2 linked regions of the Elephas maximus indicus genome follow. The protein of the gene in region 1 interacts with the protein of each later gene in a pairwise test. Links are inferred from orthologs where the notes say so. Each region holds a gene or a part of one and is shown in the gene's direction. Other genes may lie near its edges.

Region 1 (9,431 bases):
TACTTGCATCAGATTAGAACAAGAACAAAGTCATTAACATTAGGTCAAAACAAAGTCATTAACAAACTTACATGAAGGAGGAGGCAGGCAGAGGAAGGAGAAAAACAGGTTCATCATGGCCTTAGTTACCTCAAGCTCTCAGTTGCCCATTTTGAAATGGAGAAAACGTGTTGGGGAGTATTAAAAAAAATTAGGCTTACATTATTAATATTATTTATAATATATTACATATAAACATGTATTAAATATAAACATGTACGAAATATGTTATATATTGCTGTTGTTAGGTGTCCTCAGGTTGGTTCTGACTCATAATGACCCTATGTACAACAGAACAAAACATTGCCCAGTCCTGTGCCATCCTTACAATCCTTGCTGTGTTTGAGCCCATTGTTGCAGCCACTGTATCAATCCATCCCATTGAGAAATAGATTACATAATATCACAAAATGGAGGATAAATACATCATTACATAACTGCCAAGCCACTGAGAATTATTGCCCAGCCAAGCTGACACATAACCTTAACCATCACAGCAATGTTATTCACAATCTGTTATGATTCACACAGCTGAATGCCTTTGCGTGGTCAATAAAACACCAGTTCACATCTTTCTGGTATTCTCTGCCCTCAGCCAAGATCCATCTGGTATTGACAATGATATTCCTTGTTCCAGGTCCTCTTCTGAATCCTGCTTGAATTTCTGGTAGTTCTCTGTCGATGTACTGCTGCAACCATTTTTGAATTATTTTCAGGAAAATATTACTTGCATGTGATGTTAATCATTGTTGTTGTTGTTGGGTGCCGTTGAGTTGGTTCTGACTCATAGCGACCCTATGCACAACAGAACGAAACACTGCACCATCCTTACAATTGTTGTTATGCTTCAGCTCATTGTTGCAGCCACTGTGTCAATCCACCTTGTTGAGGGTCTTCCTCTTTTCCGCTGACCCTGTACTCTGCCAAGCATGATGTCCTTCTCCAGGGACTAATCCCTCCTGACAACATGTCCAAAGTATGTAAGACGCGGTCTCGCCATCCTTGCCTCAAAGGAGCATTCTGGTTGTACTTCTTCTAAGACAGATTTGTTTGTTCTTTTGGCAATCCATGGTATATTCAATATTCTTTGCCAACACCACAATTCAAAGGCGTCAACTCTTCTTCGGTCTTCCTTATTCATTGTCCAGGTTTCACATGCATATGATGTGATTGAAAATACCATGGCTTGGGTCAGGCGCACCTTAGTCTTCAGGGTGACATCTTTGCTCTTCAACACTTTAAAGAGGTCCTTTGCAGCAGATTTACCCAATGCAATGCGTCTTTTGATTTCTTGACTGCTGCTTCCATGACCGTTGATTGTAGATCCAAGTAAAATGAAATCCTTGACAACTTCAATCTTTTCTCTGTTTATCATGATGTTGCTCATTGGTCCAGTTGTGAGGATTTTTGTTTTGTTTATGTTGAGGTGCAATCCATACTGAAGGCTGTGGTCTTTGATCTTCATTAGTAAGTGCTTGAAGTCCTCTTCACTTTCAGCAAGCAAGGTTGTGTCGTCTGCATAGTGCAGGTTGTTAATAAGTCTTCCTCCAATCCTGATGCCCCATTCTTCTTCATATAGTCCAGCTTCTCATATTATCTGCTCAGCATACAGATTAAATAGGTATGGTGAAAGAATACAACCCTGACACACACCTTTCCTGACTTTAAACCAATCAATATCCCCTTGTTCTGTCCAAACAACTGCCTCTTGATCTATGCAAAGGTTCCTCATGAGCACAATTAAGTGTTCTGGAATTCCCATTCTTCGCGATGTTATCCATAACTTGTTATGATCCACACAGTCGAATGCCTTTGCATAGTCAATAAAACACAGGTAAATATCCTTCTGGTATTCTCTGCTTTCAGCCAGGATCCATCTGACATCAACAATGATATCCCTGGTTCCACGTCCTCTTCTGAAACTGGCCTGAATTTCTGGCAGTTCCCTGTCAATATACTGCTGCAGCCTTTTTTGAATGATCTTCAGCAAAATTTTGCTTGCGTGTGATATTAATGATATTGTTCTATAATTTCCACATTCGTTTGGATCACCTTTCTTGGGAATAGGCATAAATATGGATCTCTTCCAGTCAGTTGGCCAGGAAGCTGTCTTCCATATTTCTTGGCATAGATGAGTGAGCACCGCCAGTGCTGCATCTGTTTGTTGAAACATCTCAACTGATATTCCATCAATTCCTGGAGACTTGTTTTTTGCCAATGCCTTCAGAGCAGCTTTGACTTCTTCCTTCAGTACCATTGGCTCCTGATCATAAGCCACCTCTTGAAGTGGTTGAACATTGACTAATTCTTTTTGGTATAATGACTCTGTGTATTCCTTCCATCTTCTTTTGATGCTTCCTACATCATTTAATATTTTCCCCATGGAATCCTTCACTATTGCAACTCGAGGCTTGAATTTTTTCTTCAGTTCTTTCAGATTGAGAAACCCTGAGTGTGTTCTTCCCTTTTGGAATTCCGTCTCCAGCTCTTTGCACATGTCATTACAATACTTTACTTCGTCTTCTTGAGCTGCCTTTTGAAATCTTCTGTTCAGTTCTTTTACTTCAGCAATTCTTCCTTTTGCTTTAGCTGCTCAACGTTCGAGAGCAAGTTTCATAGTCTCCTCTGACATCCATCTTGGTCTTTTCTTTCTTTCCTGTCTTTTCAATGACCTCTTGCTTTCTTCATGGATGATGTCCTTGATGTCATTCCACAACTCATCTGGTCTTCAGCCACTAGCATTTAATGCGTCAAATCAATTCTTCAGATGGTCTCTAAATTCAGGTGGGATATACTCAAGGTCATGTTTTGGCTCTCGTGGACTTGCTCTGATTTTCTTCAGTTGCAGCTTGAACTTGCATATGAACAATTGATGGTCTGTTCCACAGTCGGCCCCTGGCCTTGTTCTGACTGATAATATTGAGGTTTTCCATTGTCTCTTTCCACAGATGTAGTCAATTTGATTTCTGTGTGTTCCATCTGGCGAGGTCCATGTGTATAGTTGCCGTTTATGTTGGTGAAAGAAAGAATTTGCAATAAAGAAGTCGTTGGTCTTGCAAAATTCTATCATTCGATCTCCAGCGTTGTTTCTATCACCAAGGCCGTATTTTCCAACTATTGATCCTTCTTCTTTATTTCCAACTTTCACATTCCAATCGCCAGTAATTGTCAATGCATCTTGATTTCACGTTCGATCAATTTCAGACTGTAGCAGCTGATAAAAATCTTCTATTTCTTCATCTTTGGCCCTAGTGGTTGGTGCATAAATATGAATGATAGTCGTATTAACTGGTCTTCCTTGTAGGTGTATGGATATTATCCTATCACTGGCAGCATTGTATTTCAGGATACATCTTGAAACCTTCTTTTTGACAATGAATGCAACACCATTCCTTTTCGAGTTGTCATTCCCAGCATAGTAGACTGTATGATTGTCTGATTCAAAATGGCCAATACGAGTCATTTCAGCTCACTAATGCCTAGGATATCAATGTTTATGCGTTCCATTTCATTTTTGATGATTTCCAATTTTCCTAGATTCATACTTCGTACATTCCAGGTTCCAATTATTAATGGACATTGACAGCTGTTTCTTCTCATTTTGAGTCATGCCACATCAGCAAGTGAAGGTCCTGAAAGCTTTACTCCATCCACGTCATTAAGGTCGACTCTACCTTGAGGAGGCAGCTCTTCCCCAGTCATCTTTTGAGTGCCTTCCAACCTGGGGGGCTCATCTTCTGGCACTATATCAGACAACGTCCCACTGCTATTCATAAGGTTTTCACTGGCCAATTCTTTTAGAATTAGTTCTCCATGTCCTTCTTCCTAGTCTGTCTTAGCCTGGAAGCTCTGCTGAAACCTTTCTAGCATGAGTGACCCTGGTGGTATTTGAAATACCGGTGGCATAGCTTCCAGCATCACAGCATCATGCAAGCCACCACAGTACAACAAACTGACAGATGAGTGGTGGATGTTATAGGAATCCCTGGGTGGTGCAAACGTTTAATATGCATGGCTGCTAAGTGAAAGTTTGGAGGTTCAAGTCTACTCAGAGGTGCCTGGCTTTCTAAAAGTCTGCTTCCAAAAAAATCAGCCATTAAAAACCCTGTGGAAATCTTTAAACCTTATTCCAAATCCATCCCCTGAAGTCATCTTTAAACCAAACAATAGTTTAGCTTAATTTAGTTAATGATGTCTGTCTTGAGCATTATGCTCTTTTAAATTATTTCTACGTGATCAAATTGACAACAGCAACTAGAAAGGTTAGATGAGAAACTTAGGGGGCATTGAGTTTACATTAATGGTGCTGGAATAATTTGGAAAAGGATTGTGAGAATGGTTGCACAACTTGAAGAATGTAATCAACATGAGTGAAAGTACATGTAGAAATTGTTGATTTATGTTTTGTTGTGTATATTTTCACCAAAAAAACAGCGTGTGCACTCAATATTGTCTGGACAGGCACGATGGCACCTTGAACACTATCTATTTGTTGGAAAAATTCCACCCAATGATTCAGGAATATCAGAGGAAAAAGGTCAGCACGAGGCCGGATCCGGAGGGGTGCTTAATGAACTACAAGTCCCAACAGGCCAGGGAGCGGGTACGGGACGGGGCGCCCAGAGTACGGAGAGACTACAACTACCAGCAGGCAAGGTCCAGACGGTGAGACTACAAAACCCAGAATGCACTGCCTGCGGCGTGCGCAGGGAGCCTCGGGATGTGTAGTCCCCCGGAGGACTAATGCCCATTTACTGGCTCTCAAACGGAAGGCAAACTCCTCAAACGTTCCGCTGAAGCGCCCATCACGGGGCAGCAGAGAGAACGAGGGCGTGAAGAAGAAATAAAAAGCCCAGAAACCACAACCGGGGCGTGGGAGAAAAACGCCCGCGTACGCTCACTCGCGGCCCTAGCCGGCGATTGGGCACGCGGGGGCACTCGCAGGCTAGGCCTCGCCCCCGGGCCCCGCCCCCCGCCTCCTGCGCACCCCGTACGGCTGCGCAGAGCGCGCAGGGCCGCGGACCGAGGGGAGGGCCGCGCAGCGCTTGCGCAGAGCGGCGGCTTCTCTCGCGAGGACGGACGCCATTATCACATCTCCCCGACAAACACCACGAGAATTCCGCAGCCCACACGGTAATTGCAGCTCCCGCAGCCGGTCGCGTCTCCGCCTCCCCCCTTCCCGCGGGGCGAGAGCGAGAGCGAGATCTCCCTCCCGCCCCGCCCGCCGCCGCCGCGGCCCGCGGCCTCCGCCCGGCCGCCCGCGGCCTCCGCCCCGCCCCCGGCCCCGCGTCCCCGTCGCCCGCCGCCGCCGCCAACGGTACCCGCCGCCTCGGCCCGGACCCGCCGCTCGGTGCCCCGCCCGGGCTCCGTTCCGCTCACGGGCCCGGGACTCAGACAGCGGCGGGTCGCCGGGGCCGGGCGCGAGGGGTCGTTGTCCCTTTTCTTTTTTGCCATTACCTGTCGATTTCCCCGTGAACCGCCGTGTGGTAGGTACGGAGGAGAAGCGCTGCCCTGGTTTTGAGCAGGTCGCTGGGTGCTGCCCTGGTGGCGCAGTGGTTAAACGCTGGGCTGCTAACCGAAAGATTGGCGGTTCGAACCCACCAGCCTCTCCGCGGGAGAAAGATACGTCAGCCTGCTTCCGTTGCTTCCGTAAAGATTACAGCCTTGGAAACCCGCTGGGGCAGTTCTACTCTGTCCTGTAGGCTCGCGGCGACTCTAAGGCAGCGGGCTCGCTGCAGTTGTGTGGTGCTGGGGTCGCCCCAGTGCCCCACATATTGCACTCGATGGCCGTGCACTTGGGGTGCGTTAGTTACCCCGTTACCGGCAGAGTCTGAGATGCACCAGTGGGTAGTGGCATTTTACACGCGCATGGCAAGACGTCACCAAGGAGAGCAGTCCACTGCAGCAGCAGCAGAGACCTGGGTGATGCTAGCTGTTGCCCGGCAGGAGATGACATGATTTTGCTTCCGTGGGCAAAACACTTCTCTGGACTTCTGTGTCACCCTCTGCAGACCCAGGACTTCTAGACGGAAAATCTTGTCATGCTTGATTTTACAGTCTTCTAGAAAATCAGAAAAACTTAAAACGTATAAAACCCCAATGAGCTTTGTATGGCATAACTCTTACCCCGTGTTGTAGTTGCTCTAAGTCAGACTTTTAAGTGATTTGCTACCTCCAAAATTACTAATGTGAAGTTGAACTCTTAGAATGTGAAAAGAATTCTGTTAATTTACTGCTGGCTTCACAAAGGAAAATAAGAGGCAGCTTTAGACCTTGGAGATGACCTAATCCAGTGCTCTTACAGATCTTCATGAATGAAGATTTCAGATTTTGACCCCTCACTTTTTGCGGTGTCTGATTTAATCCTTTTGAAGTGCAGCCTTTTTTGCTTTGAATGTTCCCCCCTTACCCCACCCCCACTGCAAAAAATGGAGATTCACACTCCGTCTCACATAGTGGACGCATGGCTATAAAAGAGGACTAACTCTTTTCCCTGACGAGATGGTGGGGTTGTGTTGACACTGGAGAAGTCACTCCCTGAAGAACTGAGAAGTGTGGCACTGCAAGGGTAGTGAGCTTGCCCTACTTTGACTAGTGGAGGGCCCAGGTTAGAGTCTGTTTGTATGGAGCAGGTGGTTTCTCTCTTAGGAGTTACCAGTTCTGCTCTTGGTACCCCAGGTGTGTTAGAGTAGAACTGTACTCCATGGGGTTTTCAGTGGTAGGTTTCTCGGCAGTAGATCGCCAGCCCTTTCTTTCGAGGTGTCTCTTGGTGGGCTGGAACCTCCAACCTTTTAGTTAGCGTTCGAGTGCGTTAACCATTTGCAGCACTGCCATGAGTTGGAATCGCCCTGATGGACAACTAGTTTTTTGGTTCTGCCTTGGAATGTAATCCAAGGCCTAATAGCTTTGGTAAAACTTGTTAGCTGCAGTCAGGTTGGCTCCCCTGACACCTGGTGACCCCTGTGTTACAGAGTAGGACTCCTTCATGGGGCTTTCTTGTCTGTAATCTTTATGGAAGCAGATCGCCTGGCCTTTGTTCCACTAAGATGAACTAGCTGATGCACTTTCTAAGGGTAGAGATGTAACTGGACGTTTTTGAAGAGACAGAAGAATAACTTGGAATAGCCGAGTTGTCCTGAGTGAGGGAAACAACGGGAAGCACGTCAACCGACTATTTAACCTTCAGCTTTTAGGACAGTGTGTCATAGGTGAGCTTAGGATCTGAAGCCTTGGGTATCCAGTGATAAAAGAAAACACCAAAACTGCCTGTACAATCAATCCCATGTATTTAGTTCTTTTTCCCCATTGTCTTGCCATTAAGACGTAAGAATTTGTGTGATATCCAGGGGAATGCTGGATTCTTAACAGCGGCTTTAAGTTTTAAAAGACCGCTCCTTTTATGGGCCCTGTACCGTGTGCTGGGACTGCTGAGCGTTTCACAGGTTTCTCAGCCCAACGATCCTTGAGGTAGACGTTGCCCCATTTTACAGATGACGTGACTTACAGATGACGTGACTGAGGCCCGTAGAGGTTAAGCAGTTTGGCCAAGTCACACACAGCCAGAGTTGGAGCTCAATCTGTGTTTTTAAAACAACAACAACACACACACTTAAAATTTTTACCAACGTAATTTACATAATAAAAACGTCAAGGAAAGGCTCATAATGGAAAGCAGCAGTCCTTCACCCCACTCGTCAGTCCTGCTCCTCACAGACCTAACGCACCTCTTAGTTTCCTCAGGCAGTTCTCTGCAGCCCAACTAATAAGCTGACGTAAGTTCTGTCAGTGTTACCCGGTCCTGACTTTCTGTTATGATAGGGCTCCTCACACCGTAGCCCACCTTTTCTGTCCTCTCCTCTATGCACGTATTGCAGTTCCCATCTTGTACAGCTTTTCATTTTTTCTGTTGTCTGTGATGGCCTTTCTTCTTTGCATTTTTTGCTCCCGCTGACTCCTTATATTGTTTAAATTCTCAAGGGTAGTGTCAAATCTCTGCGACTTCTACCCAAGCCCCTCACTTCCCCCAGTCCTCTGTCCTCTTTTTCTGTCTGGCAGGATACTCCACAAGTATTACTACACCAGTGTCATCCTGGTTGTTTCTTTTGTTATATGTCTGGGTTGGTTCAGGACCAAACCAGGATACAAACCCCTTGCTGTCAAGTTGATTCTGATTCATAGCGACCATACAGGTCAGGGTAGTACTGCCCCATATGGTTTCCAAGGAGCAGCTGCTGGATTTGAACTGCTGACTTTTCGGTTAGCAGCCCATCTCTTAACCACTGCACCACCAGGGCTCTTTGTTTAGGAGGCTGTAATTTAACCTTGGCTTCCTCATTTCAATGGGAGACCTTCTGCCAAGGTGCCTTATCCTTTCTGGGTAACTTTTCCTTCCCTGTAAGTTTTTGGGGTCCTCTTTGGGGTTATGACGGTGTGTCAAGACGTGTGGGCTCTCACTGTGAGAATATTGTTTGGGTCTGAGGCCTGTCCTTCCTCTGGGAAATTCTCTTGTATCATTTGTTCAGGAATTTATTGCGCTCTGATTTTCTCGTCTCCCTTTTAGGATTTCCCTTAGTTTAATGATGGGTGCCTTGGAGACCCTCAGAATTTTTGTTTGTGTTGTTTTTATTCTCCTTTCTGAGAGGGCTATAGTTTTACCTTCTGATCCTGTTTAAAATTTTAACTTCTATCATTATTTCCAATGATTGTTCTTTTCCTTTTTCACAGCAACTCACTGTTTTATGAACGTGTTCTCTCTCTGACTGAGGATACGGATCAGGATTTTTTTCATTTCTGTCTTTTGATTGATACTTCCTCTGGTATCACTTCCTTTGTTTAATATTGCCTTCTTGCCTTCATATGGAAAAATACTCCTTAAACATTGGTACTTATAGTTGCCCAGGTTTAAGAAGTGAAAAAAAAAAGTGAAGCAAGAGAAAATGCGCCAGTTGCCCTTTGGGTGAGTGGGGGGCTCGTCATTGTGCTGGGGACCCTGAATGCTAAGTGCCAGAGTTATTTTCTCTTGGCCTTTCGGCAACTTTGAGGAAGACCCTTCTGCCTCTTTGCTTGGGGGCTGCTCTACTTTGTCTGCAGGGGCCTTTGGAGAGTCCTTCTGTGTGCAATGACCCCAGTTCCCTTTACAGGCTGACCTCTCCCCGTCCTGTGTCAGCTCTGTGTTTTGGGTCATGGGCTGCTGCAGGCTCCCTTGAAGCTTGAGTCCCTCATTGGTGAGACCAACTCCTTGTGGGATTATTCAGTGATCCTCCAAATCCTCTCGTGAACTCTCACCTGCCCCTCTTCTTTTTTCCCTTGTGCGCTTATGCTGTCTTAAAAACTTTTTATGGGAGGAGCTGAGATCACCTGTGCTAGCCACTCATCTGGGACAGGAATTCTCC
Region 2 (9,765 bases), on another chromosome or scaffold:
CCGTCTCCCACCCACCTTTCATTCTCTTTTTGACCCCCTGGATGCCTAGGCAAAGCTGCTGAAGCGGCAGCAGCGGATGATTAAGAACCGGGAGTCGGCCTGCCAGTCCCGCAGGAAGAAGAAAGAGTATCTGCAGGGGCTGGAGGCAAGGTTGCAGGCGGTGCTGTCCGATAACCAGCAGCTGCGTCGGGAGAATGCTGCCCTCCGCCGGCAGCTCGAGGCCCTGCTGGCTAAGGTAAGGCTGGTCTGTCCATGGAGGGCCAGCAGCAATACCGGTTCCGAGGGAATGCCTTACCCTCCTTCTTATCTCTTCCTTTGCATCTTAGAACAGTGAGCTCAAGTTGGGGTCTGGAAACAGGAAGGTGGTCTGCATCATGATCTTCCTCCTCTTCATTGCCTTCAACTTTGGGCCTGTCAGGTGAGACCTTCCCCACCACCCCGGAACCTTCTGTGGCGGAGCCCACCTTGCAGCGCCTGTTTGCCTGCTTTGGCAAGTCACTCCCATTCCACTCACACGCTGACAGTTGTGGTCGCCTTGGCACCAGTGGTATCTCCAGCCAGCCTTTTCTTGCTCCATCATTTCTCTTATACATGGTACATCCCGGATGAGATAATGGTGCTGATGTTGATAAAGATAATGACTATTAGACACTTACTGAGTTCTAGGCTCTAACTTAAGTGCTCTCCTTTTCTCATGTGTCCTGGCTCTGTGAAGTAGGTACTGTTCTCATTCCTGTATTACAGATGAAAGACAGGTTTGTACAGCAGATTGGGGCCCCGGCAGCCTGCCTGCAGAGCCCTTGTTCTTACCCAGACACTCACTAAAGCAGGGATTCCTCCTTGTGCTCTGTCTGTCCTCCACAGCATCAGTGAGCCTCCTTTGGCTCCTGTCTCTCCTCAAGTGAGCGGAGAGGAACCTCGGCTCCGGAGGCACCTGCTGGAGTTCTCAGAGCAAGAGCCAGTTCGTGGAGTCTCACCCCTCCAGGGCTCCTCCCAGGGGCCTGAAGAGCCCGAGCCCAGCCCTGCAAGCCGACCGAGTTTTAGGTGAGGAGCGAAAGAGGGCTCCTTCTCCTTTGGGGGTGCCCTTTCTTTTTGGGGTGAGCCAGAGCTGTTCTCTTGCTGTCATTGCTTGCTTCTCTGTCATTGTGGGAGTGCTGGCAATCTCTGATCGTTGCTTCTTCCTGGCCTCACTCCAGGAATCTGACAGCCTTCCCTGGGGGTGCCAAGGAGCTGCTACTGAGAGACCTGGACCAGCTCTTTCTCTCCTCCGATTGCCGTCACTTTAACCGAACGGAGTCCCTGAGGTGTGGGGGATTTATGGCTGAGGCTGAGCGCTTCCGCCCCTGCCCTCCCTGCATGCCTCCCTCCCTCCTCCCTGAGGCCCCTCCACAGGTGGTCTGGCTGTCCTCCTGTGCTGAAGCACCAGCTCTCCTTGCCCTCTTGTCTCACTCCTGTGTGCAGGCAAGGAAAGTGGGAGTCTTGGCCTGGCATGGCAGCATGAACTCTTCTCTGCCTCCCCAGGCTTGCAGATGAGTTGAGTGGCTGGGTCCAGCGCCACCAGAGAGGCCGGCGGAAGATCCCTCAAAGGGCCCAAGAGAGACAGGTAGGAGGGGTGGGGCTGGCTGGTTCGAGGATGGCCACATGAAGACAAGGGCTAAATGTCCTGGGGATTTTGAGTGGGTATAGTGGGTTGGTGTGAGGGATTGTTTAGGGGAAGTGGTGGGGTGGGTGTGAGGTGGCATCAGCTTCCAGGGGCTGGCTCTCTGTTTCCCCTCTCCCTTCACCCTCTCCAAATCCTCAGAAACCTCTCCTTCCAGAAGTCTCAGCTACGGAAGGAGTCGCCTCCAGTTAAAGCAGTCCCCACTCGACCACTGGGGCCCCCAGAAAGGTGAGTATAGGAAGGGGGTACTTATTGATTAACCAACGCTCCACTCGAAATAGCTGTGCCCCAGGAGCTGTCCTGTGCTCCCTGTTGTTTCACCCACGGGATTATGCTCCCTTATCCTTTGGGACCTCCTGTCTCTTTCTCTCGTCCTTTTCCCCCTGCTTGTAGTGGGAACCCCCAAATCCTGTTTCCCACCTGCCTAGGGGTTCTGTGGGCCAACTGCAGCTGTATCGCCACCCAGACCGTTCCCAGCCAGAGTTCCTGGATGCAATCGACCGACGGGAAGACACATTTTATGTTGTCTCCTTTCGAAGGGTGAGTCTTCCTCCCTGCCCCATCTCCATCCTCCTAAGTTGTCCAGCAGTCTACTTTCAGAGGGATGGTATAGAGTAGGGCCAGGGAACCTGTTGGTATGTTTTCCTCCATTCTCCTGGCCTGGCCCCTCTTTCCCAGGACCACTTGCTGCTCCCAGCCATCAGCCACAATAAGACCTCCCGGCCTAAGATGTCTCTGGTGATGCCTGCCATGGCCCCCAATGGTAATTCGTTCCCTGCAGGGTGTGGGAAGGGGTCCTGAGATTGAGGAAAGGGGAAGTCCAGATGGGGAGATCCAGCATGAGGAGCTGAGGGGGGAATTAGGGAGAGGAATGGAATATCCCAGAGAAGTGCTAGACTCATAGATGAGAAGAAGCAGGAAATGGGTGGAGAGAAATAATTGAGGAGAGTTTGATGGGAGGAAGACAAGGGTGCTGGTTTTCCTTTGCCCAAGGTGCTTGGGTAGGTGGCTGGGCAGAGGGGGGCGGCCTGGGAACCTGCCAGACCCTCACTTCAGTTTTCCTTTTGACTCCTTCACCTGTATGACTCCACTCTCATCTATGTCATTTTCTTTCTTTCTCGCTGCGCCATACTCCATCCCTGCTGTCCCCTTCAACTCTCCCATGGAGCTGCCTCCTCCTCGCCCATCTTTTCCTCCTGTTCACCTCTGCTTTCCTGGTCCCTCCTCTGTATGCCTCCCCTCCTCGGCTCCCTTGCCTTTCCCCTTCTCACAGAGACCCTTTCGGGCCGCGGAGCCCCAGGGGACTATGAGGAGATGATGCAGATCGAGTGCGAGGTCATGGACACCAGGGTGATTCACATCAAGACCTCCACGGTGCCCCCCTCGCTCCGAAAGCAGCCGTCCCCGACCCCCGGCAATGCCACAGGGGGCCCCTTGCCAGCTTCTACAGCCAGCCAGGCCCACCAGGCCTCCCACCAACCCCTCTACCTCAATCACCCCTGACCTCAACAGCTCACACTGACTTCAAATTGGGGAGTGGGGGCTGGGGGTGACCAAGCGGGAATATTGCTCATTTCCCTGCTCCCTGGGCTTGGGGCAATCAGTCAAGGAAAGACAGGGTGTGGGGTCAAGCACTAATTTGGAGGTAGAGGGATTTACCTCTCCTCTCACTCCCTCTTCGGTATATAGGGCTCCTTTCATTTCAGTGGACCCTCAGTCCCTGCTTCTTCCTTTGAGGGCATTAAGTTTGAGGGTGGGCTCCTGCATACTCTTTATCCTTTTTTTGTCTGTCTGAGGAATGGGAACTGAGTCCTCAGGTGGGACAAGGGAAGTTTTACATTTTGGAGTTAGTTACTGGGAGTAAAGGAGGGATGCTGGCGGGAGATCAGGTTTATGTGTGTGCATGTCTTCTTTTTTATTATTAAATAAACAAAGGGAGTTGAAGGAATAGTGACTGCCTTCCTGACTGGGGTCGGGGAGTTTGGAGGAAGGTGGTTTTGATAGGGACCAGGATCAAAGAACCAAGCACTGAAGACACAGCTGGCCCAGAGATAGGATGGGTATAGAATCACAGACCACATGTCATCTCCTTGCCCCCTCCCCTGCAACTGGGTATGCCTGTGTCTAGCAGGGAATTACAGGGTGGGGGTGGGGGGGGTGGGATGCCTCATGGTTTGATAGATCAGGAGATACAGATCTCTGGAATGTGAGTAAACAGGAAGGACAGGGGGCCCCACACCCTTCAGGGTGAACAGCTTCTCTGGGTCCCCTGCTCTACAGTAGGTTCCCCTCCCTCCCCTTGCTTTCCAGGGTGAACAGCTCAAACAAACAACAGGAGCTGGGGCCAGAGGGCTCTGAGCCTGGAAGGAGGGCCACAGTGGAGAGGGAGGTGGTATTCTGGAGGGAGGATATTGGGGGGCACCCTCTTAACTCTGAGCTGGAGGAGGCAGACTTGAGAGTCCAGGGGAAAGGAAAGGACATGAGCAGGTCTGGAACAACAGGCTGAATATTCTGATTACGGGGAAGGGGAGCAGGAAAAGGGTGAGGGGCTAAGAATCAGTCCCAACCTGCGGGGGTGCCTGGCCAGCAGCGCCTCAGGCCTGACCCTGCAGGCTTGTCCTGGGTCAGCTGGAGGGTGTTGGCTGGGCCTGGGCTCAGGGCCCAGATGACTGGACAGGGGCCGCCCGGGCCAGAAGCCCGGCCTGAAGGACCTCACGTGTCCAGCCAGGCTCTCCCCCAGCTCATTACTGTGTTTGGGGTGAAAACAGACCAAGTCACTATGGTGACCTGGAACTGGGGCTCCCAGGAACTAGGCCTCTTCTCCCTCAAGAGGGCAGCCCTGGGTTGCTCAACCCACGCTTCCTGTCCCAGGGTCCCTGGGGGTGATCCCAGCCTTAACCAGGCGGTGTAATGCATAAACAAGGATTTTGGAGACAGATCACCTGAATTGGATTCCCTGCCTTGCCTTTTGTTGGTGAATGTCCTTGATGTATAACTAACACCCTGAGTCCTAGTTTCCCCATCTATAAAATGGGAAACTCTGACCTCAGGGCAGACATGAGAATAAACAAGATGACGTTCGCAAAGCCTGGTCCGCAGTAGACATGTCTTTTTCTTATGCCTTGCTCCTTTCTCTCCTCCTCTACAGTGCCCTTTTCTTCCTGCATTGTTCCCATCTGGGTTCCATGGTTCTTTCTCCTCCTTGACCCCAGCTCAGGAAAGTGCTTGAAGTGCTGGCATCTCAGACTGGAGGCTCTAGGGTGTGGTGGGTCGCACCTCTGCTGAGTAGCAAAGGCAGCCGGCACTTGAGTGTGAAGTAGGAGCCTGGTCTCTCTTGGCTGAGGGAGTGGAGTGGTGGGAAGGAGGCATGGCGACTGGTTATACATACTGTCGGGGGAAGGCAGGTCAAGCTCTGGGTTGCTTTCTTCCAAACCCGTGTAGACCTCCATTCCTCAGGCCACACACCCCATCCAAGGCCACTTCAGCATGCCAGGCCAGTGCCCTTTGCCTCATCGGCCTCTTTGTCCTGGGCCCTCATATCTTTTTTCTCCTGCTTTCCTTGTGCTACCACCTCCTGTTTTCTGTCCTCAGGATCCCCGCCGTTGATTTCTCTATCATCCCTGACCCCATAGTCTCTCCCTTTCTCTAGACTTTTCTGCCTTTCTTTGCTCTCTCCCTCACTATGAGTTAACACCTCTTTTTGACCCTTTATTCTTTGTTCAAGGAGCCCTCGTGGTGCAGTGGTCAAGCGCTCAGCTGCCAACCAAAAGGTCAGTGGTTCAAACCCACCAGCTGCTCTGCAGGAGAAAGATGGGGCAGTCTGCTTCCTTAGAGATTTACAGCCTTGGGAACCCTATGGGGCAGTTCTACTCTGTCCTGTAGGGTCACTGTGAGTTGGAATGGACCTGACGGCAGTGGGTTTTGTTTGGATCCTTTGTTCATTTTATTGGTTTCTTGCTTCTTTTGTATTTTTCCCTTTCTCCTCCTCTGCTTCACCGTCTATTTTTTCCTCTTGGTCTTCTCATCTCCTGCTGCTGACCCTGGGCTTGCCTCTCTTTTTCATACCACCCCCCTTTTCCCTTTCCATTCTTTTATCCACATTCCTTGTCCCTTTCCATTACTTCCTCTCTTCTCCCCCGCTTCAGTCCTCTCCTCCTTCGTCCCCACCCCCCTTCTCCACTCCAGTCCTCTTGTCCTCTTCCCAGCTGTGGGGGCCGGACTGGGGAACCTAATGTTTGCCTCATCGTTATGCTATGGCTTCTGGATACAGCACATCTGGATTCCGGGGCCCAGATGTGTGGTTGCCACAGCGACCTCAGTCCCTCTGGTAAATACGGGCGCCCACCCGCCCCAGAGCAGAGAACAAAACAATTGTGTGACTTTCTTTTGTCACAAGATAGAAATGTCCTCCCTCCTCCCTTCTTCCCACACCCATGTCTCCAGGCAAAGGAAGTTTTGAGGGTCTAAACCCTTCTTTCCATGGCTCTCTTGCCCCCCTTTCAGCCCTAGTCTCTTAGTTTTCTTCCGTTTTTGATCTCAGGCTCAGTCCTTTCTCTCCATGTTCCCCTTCCTTGCACCCCTCCTCAGCTCTCAGTAATGGCACGTTGACCCCCCTGTCTTGTACTTGGCAATTTCTTCTAACTGAATCTACGTAATGACTGGATGCAGAAAGAAGTTTCAAAAATCCAGATTCCCCACCCTTCCTTCTCAAACAAGTCCTTCAAGAATCCACTTAATTTATTTCTGCCCCAAGTCATCAATCCTGTCATTTCCCAGGGCTGTTGCTGGGTGAGGGGAGAGACTACAGGCTTTGGGATCAGAAAACCTGGTTGAGGCCCACCTTCACCACCCCTAGCAAAGTCCGTTAAAGTCCATAAGTCTGTTTCCCCAGCCACAAAGTGGGGCTGATAAAATACTGCACTGTGAAGGGAAGTGCTTTGTAAACAGAAGCCCAGTACAAATGCTTTCTGTCTTTCCCCTCTCTGGGACTGCTTCCTTGGATCGCAGCCTCTGGCCTCTCTTCATTCCCCTCTCTCTATCCTTCAGGCCTTTGCCCTTAATTGCCTTTACTTTTCTGTGTCTTCCTTTCCTTTCTCCTTGTCTTTCCCTTTCTTCCTTTTCTATATCTTTTATTCCTTATCCTCCTAAGGTCAGGACAGGAACCTGGAGGATCATTCAAGGATAGAAGCTCAGAGCTGAGGACACCTGGGCTGAGGCTTCGGAGAACAGCCAATGCACATGGACAGTTCTTGACAACACCCAATCTTCCTGTTCCACTGAGGACAGAGCAGTGAGGCCTACCCCACTCTGACCACAGGGATTCCCTGCCTTTATGCCTGTGACTCCCTACCAGGCATTCTTTCCCCATCCTTTTCTCACAGTCTTTTCACAACTCACAACTCAATATTGACAAGTGTTTATTGGGTACCTACTCTATGCAAGCCCCGGTGCTTTCCTGAGATACAAACGTATATAAGACACGAGCTCCTGCAAGAGCGCGAAATCCAGAGGGTGAATCAGATTTTAGACAGTGTTTCTATCAAAACCTGGAATTATGTCCGTCAAGCGTCCAGTGAGTGGCCGGAAAGTTGTAAGCATCTGGAATCATACACTCCCTCTCTGAGATTCCAGCATCCAGTCCCCAGCAGCAGGCTTCCAAGACATGCCAGGGTTATATTTCTAGTTCTTGCTCCTCTCAGGGTCTCCTGGCCACTCTCTGGGCCAAGTATACTTATGGCGACCATACACTAAATAATAAAACCAGGAAATGGGACCAAAAAAAAAGGTGACCATGGCACATATTTATTGAAATCAAAGAAAATCCATACTCTGCAGTCTGCTGTCTCTGTGTGATGCTGTCTAAGACCCTCCATCACCATTTCATCTACTTTCCCCTGCCTCCCACCCAGAGATCCTTCCTAGGGGAGCTGCTACCTATCCTTGGCTGTGGGGCTTCAAGCCAAGGCAGAGGAAGGAAGCTAAGCCCAGCTCCATCCAAGACGGTGACTTCATCCCCCTATCAAAGCCAGGAAAAAAACAGCCACACACCCAGACACACGGACACACACGGGGACACCCACGCGAGAGCTGATGAATACTTTGCACTCAGTCACAATGAGCTAACTGGGCATCTGGCAGCAGCCATATCCTGTGCCAGCGTGTTGTGACCCAGAAACACCACCACGCCTGCAACGCCAGGGGTCTGACATGGACACAGACACCTGTGCCCCAGCCCATGTGGCAGAATCAGGCACATGCAGGCTTCTTTCACTCAAGACTGTTAACTGGTCTAGTTACACCCCGATGGTGAGGTTTGCAGAGAGGTAGAACTCTATCCTCAATGTGAAGCCTGAGGAAGGGTCCCTTAACCTGGATATTTCTCCTCTGTGTGTGGAATCGACTTGACGGCAGTGGTGGGTGGGTGACAAAAGTATCCTTTTCTGCCCCCCATGGGGCAGTATGTGGGGAAATGAGGCCAGAGAAACGCCCAGTAGCTGAATGTGGGGTGTGTCTGCCTCTCCGTCCGCCCTGTCCCCTGGTTGTCAGTCTTCCTGTCCCACCTGAGACTAAGGTGCCCTTTTACTCTAGCCTCTAGCTCTCTCCCCACCCCTGCTTCCTGTTCCCTTGCAGCTCCCAAACTTGAGCCCCCTTCTGCTTTCCAGAGCTTAGCCCACCTTCATGCACTGCACCCCCATTTTTGCCTCCTGCCTCTAGCTCTTTATTGGTTGGCAAAAATTCCTCCTAGCCTCTAGGCTTCCCATCCTTTTCTCCCCCCCAGCCCTGACTTTCTTCCCAAGTTTTATTTGCCCTGGAGTTCAGGCAAGCCTTTGCCCAACCTCACCTGCCATTTCTCTAGGTATTTACTGAGGTGGGAGAATGAAAAGGGGGCAGTGATCCAAACTGAGAACAGGATATGGACTGGACAGAACAGGGACAGGCCATGCTGAGGAAATAAGGGAGGAAGAGACAGGCGCAGGTGGAAGCATTGGGGCTGGAGCTGGGGCAGAGATGGGGACTGGAGTCCCTGAGAAGGTCCACGGTGGGAGGGATTCAGACTTGGGAGGGGGTTTTCTCCCACCCCCAATCTGCCTCTGCCCCCTGCCCTGAGCTGCTTGGGGAGAATTGGTTGGGGGAATGAAGGAGCCAGTGCTGGGCAACCGACAGAGGGGGAAGGTCGAAACTGGAACACTGACAACTAGGAAGGGGTGGGAGGGAGGCTGCAGAGGGCGGGAGAGTGGCTGTCCAAGGGGAAGGGTGTTGGTAGAGAAAACAGGTCAGAGAGAAGGGGCAACAGGTGGGGAAATGGTGGGAAAAAGGGGAGAAGAGGGATGAGGGATGTTAGGTTGGGCAAAAATTAGAGCGAGGAGGAGGAGTAAAAATGGGGTGGGAAACGGACCCTGGAGATGTAACTAGGACTAGAGGGGAAAGAGAAAGGTACGGTGGGACTCAGGATCCTAGACAGGGAGGGGCCCAGGGTGCCGGTGGGGGAGAGGAAGGGGTGGCAAGTGATGACGCTGGAGGCCTGGCAGGCGGGAGGAATGGGAGGACCTGCCATATCTCCGCTCCCCTCCCTGACCTCATACTGGTCCTCCCCTTCTCCTCCCCCTGCTTGCCTCAGGAGCCCTCCTTCTCGCTGTCGCTGCTGAGATCGACGGTTGCGGTTTGGTGAGCCCCTGCTGCAGGGGACAACTGAGGGGGCCTCCAGGGAGCCCAGGGCTACCAAGGGGAGTCCACCCTATCCTACCCTGAGACCCCATCACCCCCTGCTCGGGGGTTGAGGACAGAGCAGGTGCAGAGGCGCTGTAGCTGCCCCGTCGCCCAGGTAAGGAACAGTACTCCTGGACGACCCAGATGGAAGGTCAGGGGGTGTCTATCCTACCCCCACCCCCAGGTAAAGGGCACAGTTCTCAGGGGTACCTCCCAGGGCAGGGGCTTTCTGTCAGGGGAAGTAGGACCAGGCACTGGGAACCAGAATCCCTGTGGAGGGTGTGTCTGAGAGGACAAGGTGGTGTGTTTGTTGGGCAGGGTGGGAATGCAAGGGTTTAGACCGGATGCAGGTACCTGAGAGGGTCTGGGGACAAGCCATGGGACACATTGGTCAGGTG

What was found.
Region 2: the proteins of BANP (region 1) and TNXB interact in binary tests that used the Homo sapiens proteins (3 or more experiments, as listed by UniProt). The two-hybrid records come from large-scale screens. The link is inferred for Elephas maximus indicus from reciprocal best matches to the Homo sapiens genes BANP and TNXB.

The regions. Positions count from the first base shown.
Region 1 is NC_064839.1:53,408,900-53,418,330, forward strand, and holds the start of BANP (protein BANP), read left to right. Parts: upstream 1-5,073; 5' UTR 5,074-5,172; intron 5,173-5,496; exon of another isoform or gene 5,497-6,016; intron 6,017-9,431. UniProt on the Homo sapiens protein: Controls V(D)J recombination during T-cell development by repressing T-cell receptor (TCR) beta enhancer function. Binds to scaffold/matrix attachment region beta (S/MARbeta), an ATC-rich DNA sequence located upstream of the TCR beta enhancer.
Region 2 is NC_064819.1:93,587,825-93,597,589, reverse strand, and holds the start of TNXB (tenascin-X), read left to right. Parts: upstream 1-5,248; 5' UTR 5,249-5,430; intron 5,431-9,278; 5' UTR 9,279-9,482; intron 9,483-9,765. Other genes in the region: ATF6B (cyclic AMP-dependent transcription factor ATF-6 beta), read left to right, coding at 50-235, 327-418, 865-1,044, 1,197-1,304, 1,522-1,603, 1,818-1,888, 2,089-2,200, 2,339-2,423 and 1 more. UniProt on the Homo sapiens protein: Appears to mediate interactions between cells and the extracellular matrix. Substrate-adhesion molecule that appears to inhibit cell migration. Accelerates collagen fibril formation. May play a role in supporting the growth of epithelial tumors.